Rhinolophus ferrumequinum: one gene and its partner. The protein of the gene in region 2 interacts with the protein of the main gene of each other region in a pairwise test. Links are inferred from orthologs where the notes say so. Each region holds a gene or a part of one and is shown on either strand. Other genes may lie near its edges.

Evidence for each region.
Region 1: the proteins of TBL1XR1 (region 2) and ARL2 interact in binary tests that used the Homo sapiens proteins (3 or more experiments, as listed by UniProt). The two-hybrid records come from large-scale screens. The link is inferred for Rhinolophus ferrumequinum from reciprocal best matches to the Homo sapiens genes TBL1XR1 and ARL2.

What each region holds. Positions count from the first base shown.
Region 1 is NC_046294.1:6,580,925-6,591,075, forward strand, and holds the start of ARL2 (ADP-ribosylation factor-like protein 2), read right to left. Parts: upstream 3,964-10,151; 5' UTR 3,875-3,963; coding exon 3,810-3,874; intron 940-3,809; coding exon 829-939; intron 735-828; coding exon 572-734; intron 1-571. UniProt on the Homo sapiens protein: Small GTP-binding protein which cycles between an inactive GDP-bound and an active GTP-bound form, and the rate of cycling is regulated by guanine nucleotide exchange factors (GEF) and GTPase-activating proteins (GAP).
Region 2 is NC_046285.1:66,366,185-66,376,403, forward strand, and holds the start of TBL1XR1 (F-box-like/WD repeat-containing protein TBL1XR1), read left to right. Parts: upstream 1-6,538; 5' UTR 6,539-6,791; intron 6,792-10,219. UniProt on the Homo sapiens protein: F-box-like protein involved in the recruitment of the ubiquitin/19S proteasome complex to nuclear receptor-regulated transcription units. Plays an essential role in transcription activation mediated by nuclear receptors.

The DNA of each region.
Region 1 (10,151 bases), on a different chromosome or scaffold from region 2:
CATTATCTGCAACTTTTCTATAAATCTAAAACTTTATTTAAAGAAAAGTGTTTGGGCCAGATAAGAAATATCACCCTACAATGCCCATCTTAGAGATGAGAAGTGGAGGTTCAGAGAGGTTAAGTGCCTTGCCTGCGGTCACACAGTTTAGAATCTGACTCCTGAGCTAGGTTCCGCTGCCTCCAAAGCCTCACACGCTGGCCTGCAGTCCTCCTCCCTAAAGCCTGATTCAAGGTGTGGAAACTTAAGCTCAGGGTGGTGAAGCAGTGACCTCACAGGGACGTGAACACAGATCTCAGTCCACAGCGTGTCCTGCCTGTGGCACCACGGGCCTCCCAGGACTAGGTATACAGGTTGTCTCTCTGCCTCCCCAAGGGTGCTGGGCATGTGGTGAGGGCTCAGGGAAGGAAGAGACCCTGCCATAGGTGTCTCTCTGGGGTCATGGAGCCCTCAGGGAATCTGCTGAGGAAGGTGTCCACACATCCACGTATGTGCACAAAGTGTCGGGGCCTGAATACAGGTGGGAGCCCGGCTCCCCCCACAGCCCCCCTCAGCCAGGCCCCCTGCCCACCTCTTCCACCAACAGGTTCTGGAGCTCCCGCTGGCAGTCCTGCATGCGCTGGCGGTCGGCGCTGTCCACCACCCAGATGAGGCCATCGGTGCTCTCAAAGTAGTTCCGCCAGTAGGACCGCAGGGACTTCTGGCCGCCCACATCCCAGATGTTCAGCTTGAATCTGGGCAGGGAGGGGTGGCTGGAAGGTCAGCCTGGCCCCTCGCCCACCCTCCCCACCCTGCTCTGGGCTGCCCGCCCGCAGGGACCCTGCTCACCCCCGGTGTTCCAGGGTCTTGATGTTGAAGCCCAGCGTTGGGGAGATGGTGTCAATGTCTTCTCCATTGAACTTCTTGAGGATGGTTGTTTTGCCAGCGTTGTCCAGGCCGCTGGGGCGCGCCAGGTTAAGGAGAAACCCCCATGCTCTGCAGGGTGGTGAATCATCACAGTGCCCCTCTCTTAGGGGATAAATAATTTCCTACCACCTATCAAAATCAGTGGAGCACATGCCTGACCCATAATCGGCCCAGGATAAATGTGAAAGTATCAAGAAACATATCTTATCATCTCCTGCTGACCAAAGACTCCTGAATTCACTCCGCAATATTTATTGAATACCTTCTCAATGCCAGGCCCTCTTCTGGTGCTGGGGGACCCCGGAGTCAAAGTCTTACCTGTGTGCAGCTTACATTCTAGTGCAGAGACAGTCGACAGGGTACAAACCAAGGAGAAACAAGGTACTATCAGGTCCTGGTGCGTGTTAGAAATACAAGGAGGAGGCTTTCAGAGAGGGCCATCACATCGGAGAAGCTTCCTTCAGCTTGGGTGCCAGGAAAGACCTCTCTGAGGGTTTTGAGCTGAGGTCCAATCTACAAGGCGCCAGCTTTTTGAAGCATTGGGGGAAGAGTGTTCTAGACAGAGGGAACAGCAAGAGCAAGTGTCTGGAGGCAGCGGGTGACCTTGTTTCAGGACTCTTCCAAACCCTGCTGCTGAGTGAGTGTACAAACAAGTGCGTGAGCTCACCAGCCAGAGAGAACCACCCTCCTCTTTCCTTCTAGCACTTAAGGGGTCTGCAGCTGGGAGGGGGGCCCAGGCCTTAGACTCAGTAACCTTTTCCTCACCTGACATGGGTGATTCAAACTAGTGACGTGGGGGTGACAGAGCACCTCTCCTGAGACTCAGACTTAGCCCCTGCTCATTGGCTGCTGACTATTCCCTGACCCCTAACTCCACCATTCACATTTCCTTCCCCACTGGATCATTCCCCTCAACTGATACCCTCTGGCGTCTCTCCCCCCTTAGAAGCAGCAAACATCATCCTCTCTATCCCTCCCCCCCTTACTTATTCCTTTATTTCCCCCCTTTACAGCAAATCCATACTCCTGTGTCCACACTCATCCTCTCCAATTTCTGTCCTCCTGCTCTTTCTTGAACCCATGAGGCTTTTGCTCGCCCTGCTTCCCCACAACTGCTCTTGCCAATGTCGGTCCCTAAGGACCCCCATGTTGCCCTCCAAGGGCTGGGCAGTCCTCAGTCCTCATCCTTCTGCTCCACCAGCAGCACCTGACCGAGTAGCCTGTGCCTTCCTCCACTCCAGGACACATCTGGCCACTCCTCATCTCCCTGACCTCCTGAACTAGGAACACCTCGGTTCCCTCGTCTGTCCACGCTTTTGATGATCTCATCTAGGATCACAGCTTCAAATACCATCTTTATGCTGATGACTCCCAAATGTATATGTCTCACCCAGCTGCCAAAAGTGAACTCCCATCTTCCCTTTGAACTTGCTCCCTGCCCGCTTCTCTATCCAAGCAAATGGCTCCTCATTCTTCTAATTGCTCAGGCCAGAAACCTAGCAGTCATATTTGACTTCTCTCTCTCTCTCTCTCTCTCTCTCTCTCTCTCTCTCTCTCCCCAGCAATTCCTGCTGGCCTACTGTCAAAATGCCCCCAACTTCCATCACCTTGAGCCACCATCTATCTCACCTGGTTTGAGCCACCATCCTATCTCATCCGCGATACTGCAGTGGCCTAACTATTCTCAGAGCACATCTCCCCTCCACACTTCTCATTTAAAGGAAAAGCCAAGAAGCGAAAGGTCCTACAGTGAGGCCCTTCCATCACCCTTCTGTCCTAACCTAGTACTCTCCTCCTGCCACACTGCCCTCCTTAACATTCCTTTGAAGACCCTCTTGAGTTCATCCTTCCAGGCATTTGCATTTGCTGTTCCCTTTGCTTAAACAATTTCCCCCAGATATCTACATGATTCGGTCCCTCACCTCCGATTCACTCTTAACGTGGCCTCTTTAACCCCCTTATTTAAATGCATCCTCCTCCATACATACGATATATTTTACTTATTTGCTTTGTTAACATCTTTCTCCTTCCAGCATTATATAATGTCCATGAAGGAAGGGGTTGTTTTTGTTTTGCTGTTTTACCCCAGCCCCTAGGACAGTGCCTAGCACAGAGTAGGTGCTCAAAAAATATTTATTGGATGAGTGAATTCTCTGAGCCTTTCAAAGAACTCTTTAAACAGACATGATGTGAATATTATTGGAGTTATTTGTGCACGTGTCTTCTCTCCCTGCTAGGGGAGCTGGGGGTGAGGGCAGCCCAGCTCTTGGATGGCAGAGTCCACGCGGGGCCTGGCACAAAGTAATACAGACGCCTGCTAATGGGACTCGGAAGGTCGGCGGGGCCCTCGGGCCTACAACCCGTCAGCCAAAAACCACGGGGTCGTGCAGCAGCAAACAAACACGACTACTGGACCCACTGGCGAACGAACCCACCGAGGCCACACACGCCTCTCCCGGGAGCTGAGGACGGTGCCCTCACGCCCCCGGGATTCCGACCTTGAGGGCGGGGCCCGGGCCTGAGGCCGGCCCCCACGGGCAGGGGGAGGAGGTTAGAGCCCAGGAGAACCGAGGCCCCAAGCCTGGGCCAGACCAAAGGGTGGTGTGGCGTCAGAGTCACCTCCAGGACCCACTTCCCCTCTACACCGGGGCACCTGGTGCGGCCGCTGCGCCATGAGGCTCACACCTTTGCCTTGAAAACGGATTTCCCCCGCCCCGAGTCGATGGTACGGCCTCCTCCCGGGCCCCCGCCGCAAGTGATTGGTAGTCCCCACGTGCGTGACGCACAATGGGCAGTTGGGACGGGCCGGCCGGCCGCTCACCCTGCGCCCGGTAGGGGGCGCCTGGTGCCGCCTGCCCGGCGGGGCCCCGCTACCCTGGCCGCTTCTGCGTCCGGGAGGATACAGCATGAGTAGTCGCAGCTCCCGCTCTTTCTGCTTCATCTTCTTCAGGATGGTCAGAAGGCCCATGGTCCCCGTAACCCCCTCCTGGCCGCCGTTGCTTCCTAGTCCCGGGACCCCTCGCCCTGCTCCTATTGGCTATCACGCCCACTGACAACACAGCCTATTGGCGGGCCCCTCGCTTGGTCCCGCCCTCATTCCCACGTGACCGCGAAGTCACCCATTGGTGCCTCTGCGAAGGTCCCTCTAGCGGTGATGGGGACTTCTGCGCTAACTCTTCACCAACCTGCAGTTAACCCTTCGCATACCGAGGGCTTGAAGGACGAGAGCACCGCCATTCCTTCCTCTCCAGGACCCCAGGCTCAAATGGGAACGGAAACCTGAAGTTCCTGGATTGTGTTTTGGCTGCATAGGAAGTAAGAAGAGGCAGGAGTCAGAACCAATGGAGAGCCCCAAGATTGTTGATGAGTTTATCCTTTGGCCAGTGTAAGGCTCTGTGGAGACAGAGTCCCAGAGAGCAGTTTCCAGGCTCTTGGTCTCACGTGGAAAGGTGCTGGCTTGGTTATTAGATGGCCATCAGCTATAATCAGATGGGCATTAGCTGTTACCGATTAGCCATCAGCCACTAATATAACTGTCCTCGCTCCGCAAAGGGGTTGGTTGGCAGAGAAGTGACTTCGGATTGTGGTTGGCAAGTGCGGTTAGCAAGCAGATGGATTGCGGATCGTGTGAATCCTACTTCCAGTGTCTCGCCTGGCTGCCAGAGAGAGGGGTGCAGGAAGACCCCGCATTGGGGTACTGGTGGATGTTTGCTTTTGTGTCTCAACCAGCCGCCATTGAGAATATAGTGGTATGACTCCCCTATCTATGGCTCCGTTGGTGCTCCTTTTCGGCCTCACCATATCCTGCGTTTTTGTGTGGGGCACGGGACCAGCAGCTCTGCTCCCTGAAAACATGGTCCAGATCCTCCTCATCTTGGTTGGACCTAGGGTGTCATCCTGAACCTGCCAGTTACAAGGCCTCCCCCTTTCCCTGGCACCTGGAGTCATAGAGGGAGGGCGGGGGTTCTCCATCAAGGGAGAAAATGCCATGAAGGGCGTTTTCAAAATGTGACAGGGCATCATTGGGTTGTCCCAATTACCAGGGAGGTCCCTGTCACTTAGAGGGCGGGGTACAGACCTGCACAAAGAATTATCCCACCCAATGTGCCCATCATTTGTCTATTTCTTTTGCAGATGAGAAAGTTAAGGCTCACATGGTGCTTAGCACCCTGACTGGCATATAGTAGATATTCAAATATTTGTTGTTGAATGAATGACTTTATCCAAGAGTTTGGTTCTTTACCTTAGTGCTTGAGTCCAGAAAATAATGAGGAAACTGAGGCCAGGGACTAGGCAGAGTGTAAACTCAAAAAGGTGAGCCTTATTGTCTTATTTTGAGCCCTTTCCCCCAGCCTACCACAGGGTAAATGTGAGTGGGCAACACAGAAGGTTCTAATGCTTGGGGCAGTCAGGCACCAGCTGAAGATAATGGCTAGCTTCTGTGTGACTGTTTATAAAGTACTCCACATTTTCTACTTCATCCTCCTGACAACCCTGAGAGGTCTGTTTCCTTTTTGGAGATGTGATAGTGGAGTCCAGAGAATGAAGGAGCTGCGACAGCAATTTAAACTCAGATCTGAACTGGAAAGTGCACTGTTTTCCTGGTTCCTAAGAAATCTAAGTGCCTTCAGTGGGGATCAGTTACTTAAGCTGGGGTACATGTGTGTGTGTGTGTGTGGGGGGGTTTCATGAAACCTTTGAGAAAGGAGAGGTGGAGCTATAATGTGCCTGCGTGGAAAGATGTCCATGCCAAATTAAGTGAACTTTAGTACCATTATAATTTTTAAAATGACAATAACTCACTAAACAATGTTTTTCAAACTGTGGTATGCAGCCCCTTCAGGAGATTGTGAAATTAGTGTCACAAATACATTGAATCATATGTAATCGCCCATGTTGACTACTAAGATATCAGTCAGTTTCATGTGTTCAACCTAGAAGCACTAGCAAAAATTAAATAGAATGAACAGAACAGAAAGCATTGCTGCCTTTGCCCATTAAGTAAAAGTTTATAGTGTTTGTTAAAATGTGTTTCAGATATTTATATGGATGTATGTACTTCTCAACTAAGAGTCAGTCACAAAAATTTGAAAATCACTGCAATTCAACTGATACTTCTGGAACAGGTTTGAGGGGGACTTCAAATTATTACCTGAAGCACTTCTGGATTGTTTTACGTTACTAACTGCCATGAGCATTGAAATCCTTGTTTTAATGTCAGGCTTCCGGCCCTGCCCAGTTCCAAGCAGTTATTGCGGCTTCCCCGGGTCCACATAGTAGATAACGATGAATATCAACTGAAAAATCAACCTGGAAGCTCTGTAAAATAGTCGGAGACCAGGAAGCAGTTGTTTTGAATAATAATTGCATGTAGCTAGAAATGGGGTGGGGGGGAAGAGGGGCTTTTAAAGACAAGTGTACGTAGGAGCCTACTGGCAGGCAGTGTTTTCATTTGCCTTCTGGAAAGAAGGAAAGGGTGCTCTTAAGGAAATAAAATCTCTAGGGAATATGTTTGGAAGAAAACTGGGAAAGAAGATCTCTAGAGCTGTAGTTATATATAGCTATGAATATATATATTCACGAGAAAGAATCGTGAAATTAAAATACCCAAATCCTGAGAGCTGTGAAACCCGCTTTTGAAGGGAGAGTTTCTTAGGGCTAAGTAAGTGGATTGTAACTTGAGGATGGAGTTCTAGATGCCTTTTATTTATTTTATTTTTTATTATTAGTTTTTAAATTTTTAAAATTTATTTTAAGTGTGCTTTTCCAGGACCCATCAGCTCCAAGACAAGTAGTTGTTTCAATCTAGTTGTGGAGGGCGCAGCTCACAGTGGCCCATGTGGGAATTGAACCCATTACCTTGTTGTTAAGAGCACCTCGCTTTAACCAACTGAGCTACCCGGCTGCCCCCGGGATGCTTTTTAAAGAGGTGTGTTACCCAATGTGTGGGGAAGAAAATTTGGCATTATAGTTTTAATTTTAAGAGATATAGCCTCTTTGATCCATCCATACACTTCCTGTATCACCTTTTTAATCATAAAAGAAAAATAACAAAACTCTTTTTATCCTGGAACAACAACAACAAAGAAAGCCAGGGGAAAAGAGTGTGCCCCCTAATCCCTGGAATGGCAACTGCCTATGGACCCCAGTTCTGCCCTGGCTTGCTCTAGTGCTCCCACGCCATCTCCTTGTCTGCCTTAAGAATCCAAGGGTGGCCCTGTCCCCACTTGGTGCATACAATGAGCAAGCCACAGCTGAATGCTTCAAAGAACAAGTCAGAGTGTTCAAGCATCTTCCTTATAGGTTTCAACCCAGCTGCCTGGAGTGGGAGGCAGATGAGGTGTCCTTTCCAACTTCCAGATAACGAAATGAGCTCTTCCTCACACCCCTGTCATCCATCCAAGGGCACGTGACATCTCCAGTCTTTTTCAGAACCTGAGGAGCGGGGGAAGGACTTGGAAATCTGAGCTCTTCCAATAACACGTCCATGTTCACCTCCCCTGTGCCTGTGGCATCCTCCACAGGCTGCTCGATGCTTCCTGTCGCTACAGGGCAAGATGGGGGAGTGAGGAGGGAGTAGTTGCTGAGCCTTCACTCAGCCACCTGAGAGCCAGGTACCCTCTTATCTCCACTTGACAGATGAGCCAGGAGCTCCACTCACCGAGATGGCTAAAGCAGCCTCTCGCCGTTCCTCTTCCCCAAGGCAGAGGGACCTTTCTAACCGGTGCACCAATCTTGTCCCTCCTCCGCTTAAAGCCCTTGGCTGTGTGCTGTCCCCTGGCTGCTCCCTGTATCTTTCAGAGTCGGAGCCCGAGTTCTCCAGTGGCCAATGAGGACCTGCATGAATTGCCTTCGCAACTCTCTACTGGGAGTGCCTGCTTCTCTCCTCATCCCTTTATCAATTCTCCAATCCACCAGCGCATTCCTGCTGCCCCTAATCCATACCTCCCTGCTACCTCCCTCTCTTCAATGCTTTGCTCAAATGTCCAATATCTCAAAAAAAATTTATTGTTTCAATATCTCAGTGAGGCCCAGTCCTGACCACCCTATTTAAAGTTGAAACCACTCATCCCCCATCCACATTCCCCAAATCCTTTATTTTGGTTTATATTCATTCCCCCATGACACTTAAGGCCTCTACTAGCCTGTGTAATTCCCTTAATTGGTTACATTTATTCTCCCCATCCCTCCATCCCTACTAGAATGATAGCTCCACAAGGGTTGGGATTTGCACTCCCCCCCCCCTTAGTTTTATTGAAAAATAATTGATGTACAGCACTATACAAGGTCTGACAATTAACTTCACAAACTTGCCACCGCGCGCTTACATTGGTAGCGCTGTACACACAGCTCAGTAAGGTTTCATAACCTTGGTGTGTCAGTGTCTCACAGCTGTGTTCGTGTCGATTTGTGGCGGTGTCTTGCTGAGTGGAATTCATTATTGTGTATTTTTGTGTGCTGATACGAGAATGTTTGAGCTTGAATTAGAGCAACGAACAAACATTAAATTTCTTGTTGAACTTGGCAGGAGTGGAAGTGAAATCAGGAATATGTTAGTCCAAATTCATGGGGATAATGCCATGAAGAAAACGGCAGTGTACAAATGGATTAAACGTTTTTCTGAGAGACCGCGTCACTGACGAAGAGAGGTCAGGGTGGCAAGTAACCAGCAGAACTGACGAAAACATTGCAAAAATTAATCAAAGTGCGTCAAAATCGTCAGCTGACTGAGAAGCATAGCAGACCTTGTAAAGATTGATAGAAACAGAAAAATCTTAACTGAAAATCTTGGCATGAGAAAGGTGTGTGCAAAAACGGTCCTGAAGGAGCTCTTGCATCACGACAATGCACCAGCTCACATGGCACTGTCTGTGAGGGAGTTTTTAGCCAGTAAACATAACTGTGTTGGAACACCCTCCCTAGTGGGGACCACTGATCTGGTCCCCAGTGAGTTCTTTCTTTACCCAAAGATAAAGGAAACATTGAAAAGAAGACATTTTGATGACATTCAGGACATCAGATTAGTACGACGACAGCTCTGATGGCCATTCCAGAAAGAGTTCCAAAATTGCTTTGAAGGGTGGACTAGGCGCTGGCGTCAGTGCATAGCTTCCCAAGGGGAGTACTTTGAAGGTGACTGTAGTGATATTCAGCAATGAGGTATGGAGCACTTGTTCTAGGATGAGTTCGTGAACTTAATTGTCAGGCCCTATAAGTTTAAGACGTACGGCATGTTTTGATTTACATATCTTGTGAAATGATGACCACAGTAGATCAGAATCTAAGATCCATCTTCTCATATAGATGAGAGGTAGGAAGGCCCCACTTGGAGGCCCCACTTCTTTTCTTCTCAAAAAGAAAGAAAAAAAGGGAAAAATTTTTCTCCTTGTGATGAGAATTCTTAGGATTTATTTTCTTAACAATTTCCCTGTAGCCACAGTCATCATGCTGTACCTTCCATCACAAGTACTTACTTCTCTTATAACTGAAAGTTTGTATCTTTTGACCACCTCCCTCCGTTTCTCCTTCACCCCACTCTCTGCTTCGGATACTGGATCTTTTTTTTTTTTTTAAACATGTCTCCCAGCACCTAGAACAGGGCATACAAATACTAGATACTCAGTCAATATCTGTTGAATAAAAGAGTCAGGAGCAGTTTCTGTTAACTGCTGTTAGTTGTTCACCCAGCCAGAAAGCAGCCCTCCTGTCAGCCTATTCTTGACCACCAGGCCCCCGCCCTCTCCTCTGAGATCCCGCAGATGGCAGCTCCCAGACCAGGCCCAAACCTGATGAGCTGAGAAGGGCATCTCATAGACACCCCCTCCCAGCAGGTGTCTGGAGGGGGAGCTAAGGCCTGGAGTGCAAGGCAGGTAAGTAGCAGTGCCAGGAGAGGAGGGGAACCCAGGTCTCCTCTCATCCTCAATTCAACATGCAGCCCTTTGTTCGGGAAAAAGCCCCCTCTGTTCTCTCAAATAGCACAGACCCCTTGGGCCTGGAGGTGTTCCTCTCTCAAGAGGCCTTAGGGTGGCCCCAGCCTCCAGCCACAGCAAGAGGGGCCCTGAAAGGTCAGTCAACACATTCCTTCAATTTCCATATGAGGAAAGTGAGCCCCAGGGAGGGCACAAAGCTGCCTGCAGCCTCATGCCTGGCAGCACTGGGAGCTGCTGGTGTATCCAGTTCTTCTGGGACCCCTTCTTAGCCCTTCTTCTGGATGGAGGCCCCCTCCTGGCTTTAAAAACCCTGCC
Region 2 (10,219 bases):
AACTGAAGCATTTTTGTAAAAGATTGAATACATAACATGTATAAATGCAGTTTAACAATTCAAGGGAATTTAATTAATCAAATTATAAACATTACCTTAAATGGGAGAGTTAGATTTAGAACTTATAATTTAAAGCTTAATAAAACTAGGGCTTCAAATTTGTAGTAAGTGAAACTGAATTACTGTATATTGTCTTCTTTGCCCATAAAACCTGTCTTCAGGAACACTCCATACCCAAATTGCCCTGTGATGGCAGGGGAGGTGGTGGTGAGAGAGAGGGAGTGGGACAAAGGTCTTCCTTGTTAATTGGTAGATACACTAATTAGGTTGGGGCAAAAGTAATTGCAGTTTAAAGGGTTAAAAACAATTGCAAAAACCACAATTACTTTTGTCCCAACCTAAAAGTATCAAAGAGTAAGCGGTGAATCCAATTAATTGCTTATAACCACGACTGCATTCAATAAACAGTTTTTTGAGATTCTGATCTAGGAAATGTGGCTTTTGTAAATGCAATTAAGATGTGTTTCCTCCCCTCAAGCAGTTTCTCCTTTTTTCTACTTTGCATTTTTCTGTTCTCCCTATTCAGTGAAGGACTTTTCAGCAAACCCTCGCACTTTCGTGCCTTGACCTGCTTTGTTTCCCTTAGTGGAAAAGCAGACACTGTACTCAGACAGTCTTGAGTTCAAATCCTCATTTTGCCATTTGCAACACGATTTTAGACAGCGATTTGGTCTCGTTAGTTTTCTCACATAACAAACTGAGATAACAAAATTATTTACCTCTTCAGATTGTTGAAAAAAATTAGAGACAACAAACATAAAAGTGCTTGGCAACATGCTGAATAAATGGTAGCAATTAATCTGGTTTCCACCAATGTCCTTTCACAAAGAGCATGTCACCTTATGTTCACCTACAATAAAGTATGTTTTAGGCTTCTGACTACATCAAGAGCAGAAGAGCATTGGTAATAAAAGAATATATTTGGGGTAGGAGATAACTGTAGGTAATAGAAAACTTTTCTTTATCCATACCCACTCTCTAGTCAATTATACCTAGGCCTATGATTTCAAATTTCATTTCTGATGAGACCCTAAATTCTCCAGCTCCAATACTTCCTCTGAACACCAAACTATATATCTAGCTGCCCATTCAATATCTTCATGAGATGTCTAATAGGCACATCAAATTCTAAAATAAAACTCTTGATTTTTCCCTCATAAAAATAATTTTTCATCTCCACAAATGGCAACTCCATTCTTCCACTTGTTTGGTATAAAATCTTGCAATCATTGTTTAAAACGTAGACAGAGTTTAGCTCCTTCTAGCCAGCTCCTGCCACCATCACCCATGGTACTATCTTTTCCTTGGGATTTCTGCACTGTCCCCTGACTAGTCATTCTCCTTGTACTGCTGCACTGTTGCACTTGGTCCTCTGCACAGCAGAGTAGTCCTTCTTAAAACAAAAGTCAGAACTCGTCACTTCTCTGCTTTCAAAATCTTCCAGTGACTTTCCATCTCACAAGAAGAAAAAGGCCCTTCACATTTGGTCCCTGGCTCCCTCTCCTGACTCTCCTTTGTTTACTTCATGCCAATCAACTGGCATCATTTTTATTCCTAGAATACAGCACACTTGCTTTTACCTTTGTTCCTTTGTGCTTGACATTCCCTGTGCCTGGAATGCTCCTTCCTCTGATAATTGCACACTCACCCATTCACTTCACTTAGTTTTCTGCTCACACGCGTTACCTAAACTGAGCAGCCTTCTCTAAACACCCTATCTAAAATAACATACATTTTCAATCCCCTCTCTGCCTTATTGTATGTCATATCGTTTACCTGACTTGTTAGCAGTTAGGTGTGGTCAGATGCCCAAGTTCTGGCCAATGGAGTATGACTGGAAGTGATGAGTGCAAATGCCAGGACAAGTCCTGAAACAGCAGGTATAAGCCCTCAATTTCTCCTCCTTTCTAGCCCAGTGGCTGTAATCTGGATGTCATGGCAAGAGCCTAGAAAAGCCATCGTAGACCACCAGCTGGAAGATGGGTGTTGAGACACTAGAGAAATCTGAGTTCTTGATATCTTATCAGCTCTAGAGTGCTTACATTTGAATGGCCACATAAGAGAGTAAATTTTTTATCTTGTTTAAGCCTTTTTCATATATTTTCTAAGCCTTTTGTTTAAGCCTTTGCTATAGAAGTGAAACTATATTCTAATACAGACATGTTATTTTTTTGAAAGTCTGACTGCCCTCCCAACCCCCACCTGAAATGGGACTGGAATGTAAATTCCATGATAGTGGAAGCTCTGTTTGGTTCACTGTAAATAGCTTCTTGAACAGTGCCTGGCACAGTAAGCATTCAGTAAATGTTTGTCGAATGAACGAATGCAAAACCATCAACATAATGCAAGGCCTTGAGTGCTGCCCTGAGGAAGCACATGGCTGGTCAGTATAAGTAAGTAGAGCTATATGCTCTGTGTGTGGCTGCTTTTCTGTTCTGACTGAATCACAGAGGCAGGATACAACCTGCTATTTCCATTATCTGAGAGGCATAAATACTTGTAAAATGGTTGTGTGTTTCTTTTGTAATTTAAATGAAGACTCCCAAATAAAGTTCATGGTTCTAATGAAATCGGGTCACAGAGTCATGGAAAACTGTGACAAGGTTCATACTGATGAGGGAAGGTCACAAGTCGCATGCTAAGCACAGATGGAGAAAAGGAGCTTGTGTGCTGAGATCCTGAGATGTGTGGCCAAGATGTGCATCAGTCTGGATGGCAAAAGCTGATAGCTGAAAGAACCACAGACAAAGAATTGCACAAGCAGAGTCAAAATGAAACAGAGACATATCACAGGGTATCAGCAAGACGCTTGGGGGTAAATGCTACAGACATAAAGCCACTGAGTTTCTGGGTAAGAACATAAAAGGTTATAGTATAGTGCCAGGATAATATTTTTGTTATCAAAAATCTTTTTCATGCTGTGAAGATCATTTTGAACACCTTAAAAACATAGATCTGTTAATGCAAACAACTTGAAACATCATGGTGGCTTTAAAAATATATATAGGAATGACATCCTGTGGGCCCAGGACTAAGCCACCTTGACTTTGAAATGTTCTATTTCCTGGGTGATGAAAGTTGCAAAGGTGTAGGCTATCTTGCCATACCACACCCCTGGGTGTAATATTATTGAAATAAAACAAGTCAAGATTTGTTTAGTTATTTTACAATATATATGTAACTTCTGGTAACAGTTACTGGTATGAGGTTTTTCTTTGTTGACTAATTAGCTAGAAAGTTCAAGAGAGCTTTCTTAATAATGTGCCTCTTTGCTCAAGAATTTCTTAGTAATGTCTCCTTTTTAGAAACATATTACCACTTATATTCAAAGTAGAAGGGCAGCTTTTAGATTATGACAAAGCACTGAAAATTAGTACAATAGTTACTTCTTTGTCCCTACCTCCCTCTTGTGCCTAATTATTGCTTGAATTTTGGGGAGGCCTCTCATCTTGTACACTGGATATATTAGGATGACTGAAGGGTGAGGTAACAATACATGCCACCTTTATATGGTGGCTCATTTATCTGAGGATTTCACGTTGTAGCCACACTGTCATTTCCGATAGGTTCCAGAATATTGAAAATGAAAGTGATCAAAATACGATCTCATTTAAAATCCCTCCGCTGGAAGAATCAAGGCTTTTCCACATTGAGTGCTTTTTTTTTGGTCCAAGGGACTTAAAGTTTCTCTTCAGTGAGCATGGTGGGTGAGGTGCCCTTTTACTGGAGGTGATGGGACAGGTCCCCACCTTTGATAATTTTTATCATAATTTTCAAATGAAGTAATTTGTGCACAGAAAGGCCTTGTAAATCACAAGGATGTAAACAAATACATACCGTGCTTCCCCGAAAATAAGACCTAGCCGGACCATCAGCTCTAATGCGTCTTTTGGAGCAAAAATTAATATAAGACCAAGTCTTATATAAGATAAGAGCCGGTTTTACATTAATTTTTGCTCCAAAAGACTTAGAGCTGACTGGCTGGCTGGGTCTTATTTTCGGGGAAACACAGTAGGTTATTATTACTAGCATTGTGATAAAAACAACTTCTGTTAGGAAAGGAGGCAGCTTAGCGTAGGGTATAAGAATTCCAGGCTGGAAGCCCTAGACTTTAAGAACCTGAGGAAGGGTGGGCCCATCCTTGTAGAGGGAAAGATGGAAGTCATTTTCAGGGAGAATAGTGTGTGTGGGGGATCCCAGGTTTGAAGATGACCCTATTATGACTCCTGTAGTTGGGAAGTCCACATTCACTGGAAGAGTGGTTTAATTTTATAGTAGCTGCTGCCTGGAGAAGACCCATGCGTGGTGCCACAATGTGAAACTTCAAAAACAATGTAGGCCAATAGATTGCTTTCACTGGGTGGCTCAGATAATGAACCCTAATTTTACTGAGACAGTTCACTTAATTGAAGAGAGGATTATGTTTAGTAACCTACATATGTCATTAATCAACTCTTTTAAAAAATAAAATAATAGGAAGCTACTATATTCTCATCGCTTCTGGAAGTCTTTGCAAAGGTGCTAATTGTGGAGTAAATAAGCCTCATTTTTAGAATCTTACTGAAATGCAAAACTTGCTTTCCTTGTGCTGTTTCCCTGTACACTCAACACAGTGTTTTGGAAACCTGCAGTTATCTAAATTCCCATCGGGTGACATTGTTTAATCTAACATTCCCTCTTTCATATATGAAAAATAGCTCTAAGGACAATCCACTGAGAGGCTTTGAACTCTCTTTATGGTGGTTGGGACGGATTTTCCAATCCCACCCCCTTTCCTCTGATGGTTTATTCTGCCCACTCCTTTCCCCACCCTCACCGCTGGTCAGGAGAGCCTCTGGCTGCTCCCCTTCTCCCCCAAGCAAGGGCTAATCAGGGGAGAGTCGTTGACCTTGGCGAAAAAAGCACTGGTCTAATCACTGAGCTTATTAGGGCACGGGAGTCTAGAAGCATAAAAGTTACTTCCAATGAATTTTTTTTTTTTTTTTGGTGTGTAAAATTAGGTCTCTGATGTTGAGAGGAAAAGACTATTATTGCTTTAAAATAATGACTAAACCTATTTTCAAATATTGTGGTGGAAGTATGAAAACAGAATCCTTCACCCTAAAAAGGCTGCAAAAAATGTTATTTTACTTTGGAGACAGTAGTAACTGAAAATAACAACAGGTTTCTTTCAGGTCATATCTTAAAAGGGTAGCTGCTTTTCATGTCTTAGGGTTGTACAAAGGTCTTTTTAAAAGGACCCCCCAATCCCTGCTTTCTGAAGGCCTTAGAAAGATGAACACATTTGTCTTAAAAACCGAGGTGCCTCCCTTTTAAAAAACAACCGGCTGCACTCTCTTCCTCAGTCACATTGTCACATCACTCATCTAAGTTATACTTTATAAACTGCCTTGATATGCTACACACATGCAAAAAGTACACAAAGTGGATAAACTTCTGTCGATGCTGCGGTAGAGGTATATATTTAGTAATCAGTTACATTATTTTTGTGAAATGAGAGCTGATCGACCAAACCTTTCAAACAGACCCACCAGACGATAAATACCACCATATGTTTGATTCACAGTACATTTGAGCATAAACACTTCAATTACAGCTTTGTGTTTAGTATCAAAAACCATTTCTTGTGTGCGTGTTTTCCCTACAGAGTCCCTGCTCTGGATTACATTTTGAAAATCGCTTATTTACAGATAAAGCACCTTTGCAGGTACGCTTCCGACAAACATATGTATTTATGCACACAAAGGTGTGTGCACATCTTTTCACAAACAAATGTCCATATGATGCCTGCATCGCGCTCCACGCACATGCCCACCGAGTGTGTGTGCTCAGCCGCGCAGCCCGGATGCCGGCGGGGACAGGCTGCCCCCCAACACGCTGGAGCCCTGCCGGCCACCCCAGCAAACTTAACCAGCGTTGCCACATTGGCTACGGCGCGAGCCTCCCCGCCCCCACTGGGCCTCGGGCGGCGCAGCCCACACCCACCCAAGCCACCCAGCCGCGCGCGGCGGTGGGGGCAGGGCGGACAGTACCCGCGAGGCGCCTCGGAGCGCCCGCGGGTTTTTCTTTATTTTTAAAAGACTGCGCCGCACACGCCCAGCCCCCAGCACCGCCGCGGCGGGCGGGCGGGAGGGAAGGAGGGAGAGGAGCGAGGCCGGCGGAGGCACCCCCCCGCGCCGCCGCCTCCTCCCCGCGTCCGCGGCGCCCCTCCCCCGCGGGCCCCTCCCCCGCGCGCCCGCCCGGCGCAGGCCGCTCGGGTTTGTTTTGCTGCGCGGCCGCCGCTGCCGCGGGCCTCGCGAGCTCATTTGTGCCTGGCTGGTCCCCATTCCTCTCTCCCCAGTGTTGAGTGTCTGAGCCGTTGGCTGCTCCGAACCGTTTGGCTCTTTCCCTTAGTAACAGCTTTTACCTTCTGCCTCAATTCCTCTCCCCGCTCGCGCCCTTCCCCCGCGCGCCGCCTCCCCCCGCCGCCGGCCGCGTGCGCCCCCGCCCCTCCCCCCTCGGCGGGAGCACCTCCGCTCGCCACCTGGGGACCCGCGCCGCGCTCCCCGCCCCCGCCCGCCCGGCGCCCATCCCCCGCGCCCTCCGCTCGCCGGGGTTATAATTGCCTCTCACCCCCCGGAGGGGTTATTTTGGGGGTGGTTGGAGGCGGCGGCGGCGGCGGCGAGGAGGGGAATTTCCTTGTGCCTCCATTCCTGGGAGGGGGGAGCGGCGTCGGAGGCCACCGTTTCCAGGTAAGCGCTGGGGGCCGGACCCTGGGGTGGGGGCGACCGCGGTCCCGGGCTGGGGGCGCGGGCGGAGGCGGGCGGCCGGTGGGCGCCGGGCCGTGGGGGGGATGGGCGCAAGTGGAACATGCATTTTTCAACTTGGCCCTTTAGGGAGCTGGGGTTTGGGTGGGGGAGGGGAAGGCAGGGAAGGCATTTAGGGTGCCCCATCCCCCTTTTCCTCTCTCAGGCTTCTTTGAAATGCTCACGTGCCTGCCCAATCCCTACCCTTTCCTGGTCTTGGGGATCCTTACCCTTATTATGTTGTCCCCGAAAATGTGCACCTCGGCCTTCTCCCCCTCTTCCACCCTTCGTGCATTTACACCCCCTTTTTGTGTGTGTGTATGTGGGGGAAGGCTTTCAGGAAAGAATTTGCAGCAAATTGAATCAAGGAGCCATCATGAGGCCGACTCCTTTATAGCCTATTTTTAGCAGAGGAGAGGGATCTTTTCCGTGCATGTTATTTTGTTAAACCTCAGGCAGCAATGGAAATCTGCTCCCCTCCTTGGGCGCGTCCCGGGCCCAGGCGCGGCGACCCTAGCTGGCGTGCGGGGGGCTGCGGGCGGCTGTTGGGGCCGCGGGACCCGAGCGGGGGAGGGGCGCGGGGCCGCACTTCAGGACGTGTTTATTTGTAACTTAGTGCTTTTTATCGTCCTAAGGAGGTATTTGATAGAGTCACTTTGAAGTTGGGTTCAGAAGTGTAGAATTGGCAAAGTTATTGCCAGCTTCCTGGTAAGTTTTGGGTGGCAGAGTCACATTATTTTCTGACAGTGTAAAGGCCACGTTGTGAGGGTGGTTTCTCGGTAACTTCCTCTTTGCAACCGATGTCATTTTTTGAACAGAAGCAGACTTTTATTTAAGTGAAATATTAGTCTTAAGTGGCAGCTCGAGGGAAGCCATGCATGTGTTAACATGTTCAGTATTTTTGGAAGTTCCTAATTTGCTGAAACAGGCATCACTTTGCAGTGGCAACCGAGATTAAATTTAGGTTGCGAAAATGGTGTGTTTCGTGTAAAATTTGGCTTGTAAGAACTCTTTAAAAATGCTCCTGTTGTTTGGTTATAAGATTTCGAAAATAATTTGGTGATTATAAATGACAGGGGTCGGAACCTAGTTAAAAACTGGATTTCCACAGTGCCTGGAATTTACTTAAAACCTTGGACTGTGCAGGCACCAAGGTGAACAGTTTTAGTACCTCTGTGATTTACAGTTGACTTGGGGAAGTTTACTATTGGCTTTCTTGTTTTCCAAACAAGCACATTATGTTGATCTAAACAAGCTTGTTAATAAAATATGGTGGGTGAATTGGGTTATTTGTAGTTAAAGGGTTTACCCCTCCCCCCATGTAATTAAGTAATCATCTTCCTCCCTCTTTTTTCCTAAAGACTCCTTTGTCAGATTGGAAAATATGAGGCCCTGGTGGTGTTTTTATCTACTTACCTAAAACAAGTTGTAATAAATATCCTGGTTACACATTGAAGATACAGTGAGTGACTCTTTGGCTTTTCCAGTGTGGTTTATTTTCATTTTTGTTAAACCAGGCCCATGCTGTATTAGTGTGTTTTAGTAATCCTAACTTCCTGGGACTGTATGTTCTCACCATTTTAATAAGTTCATGGTCAAGGGAAATAGAGCTGCTTTGTCTCCATGAAAACGGTGTGTGTATGTTGGGTTGTGTCATGGGAGTTCATGGCAAGCAAGCCTCAGAAATTATCATTGAGAATTCTAGAAATAGTTAGCATTTACCTGTGTAGGAGGGGTGGTAGATAGAAAATATGCCTGAGAGTGTGGTTAGGCATGTGATACATTGTTTAAACTTTTTGCTCTTAAATTGAGGTTTTCCTGTTTGTTTGGAATATGATTTTTTCCCAGTTCTTTTATCATGCACTATTTATGTATGTAATAACAACCATTAAATCCATAAATAAATACTGTTTTTTGCCATATGAGTAGTTAGAATCAGATCTATAGGACAAAATACTAAACTATATAGAGGGGTGAAAACATATTTACATGGAAAAAGTTTTTCCTACTATTAAGGAACTTAAGTAAGGGACTTGTAAACGGCTTAAAAATTGTTGTAAAGCTCACCATCTTATGGAGGACGTTTTTCTTCCAACAGACACCAACTTTGGTTGTTAATATGGTGGAGACTCGCAGTAAATGGAGTGACTCCTTGTGGAGGTTGTATTTTTGCATTGGTTGCTTAAAAGAAGCCTTAAATCTTAAACATTTTAATAACTTCACAGGTGTCCAGGAATCTTTTTGTTACTTGTGTTCTCAACATCTAATTAAGGTTATCCTGATTACCATGATACATACCTACCAAGAGAACAAGAAGTAACTGCTTCCTGTGTACTGGGAGCTTTTGAAGCTAAGAGGCAGAAAAGACAGAAGCTTAATGTAAACATAGGGGTTACTGATAAAAAGAGATGTGGCTAATGGACCTTTTGAAGGAGACAACCTGTTGAATAAATATATCTGTTCGTATATTGCAATGATATATAAGTACAGTCTTGTCAAGTGAGTAGCTTGACAAAGGAATCCTACAGAAAAGGAATTTGCTACAGCAGTATTACTACAAAGAATTTCTGATTTGACACATTGGATGAAGTTAGTAGAAATAATTTGTTAGGTTTGTTCAGTTTCTGTGTTGTTTATATAAAATGAGAGGAATGTGAATGGTAGTAGTCAAGGGACAGAGATGGCAGAAATATTAGCACTGTTTGGGGCTTGGTATTTTTCTAGTTCATGTGAGTTTAACTTCACAAATAACATATAGTGTAAGTCACTATATGCAAAAAATAGAAAGCAAAAAAAATAGAAATGCAGAAAAAGAAAGCAGCTAACATGGAGACATTTATGCATTCCCATAGTACAGAAGGGCTAGGCTCCCAGGGCTGTATAATAAAGAATTGGGAAGAGCATGGTCCAGTTTGGAGACCACCATAGTGGTATCTTCTGCTCTATCACCAACAGAAACTTGAATTCAGACAGACAAACAAACAAACAAACAACTGAGAGCTGATGATGGTGGAGAGGTTTATTCACCACCTCTGGTATTGGACTCCATAAGAGTACAATGAGTTGGCCTGTTACAAAGAGCCAGAAGAAAGGGACTCTGCTTGGGCTGGGGAGCTAGGAAAGGTGTGAGTTACTTTCTGCGTCATTTATACCTCAGACTAATCCTATGAGGTGGGTGGTATTGGGTTCTTTCTGTGCGTGATGACACAGAGCCATGCAGAAAAGTTAATTCACTTGTCCAAGGCCACCAAATGACCAAATGATGCACTGCAATTCAAACTTAGGTCTGTGTGAGCCCTAGTCCAAATTTGTAGATGACTTTTGCAGTGCCAAAATTTTCCAGCTGTTTTGTCAGTCTTGTCTGTAGATATGCT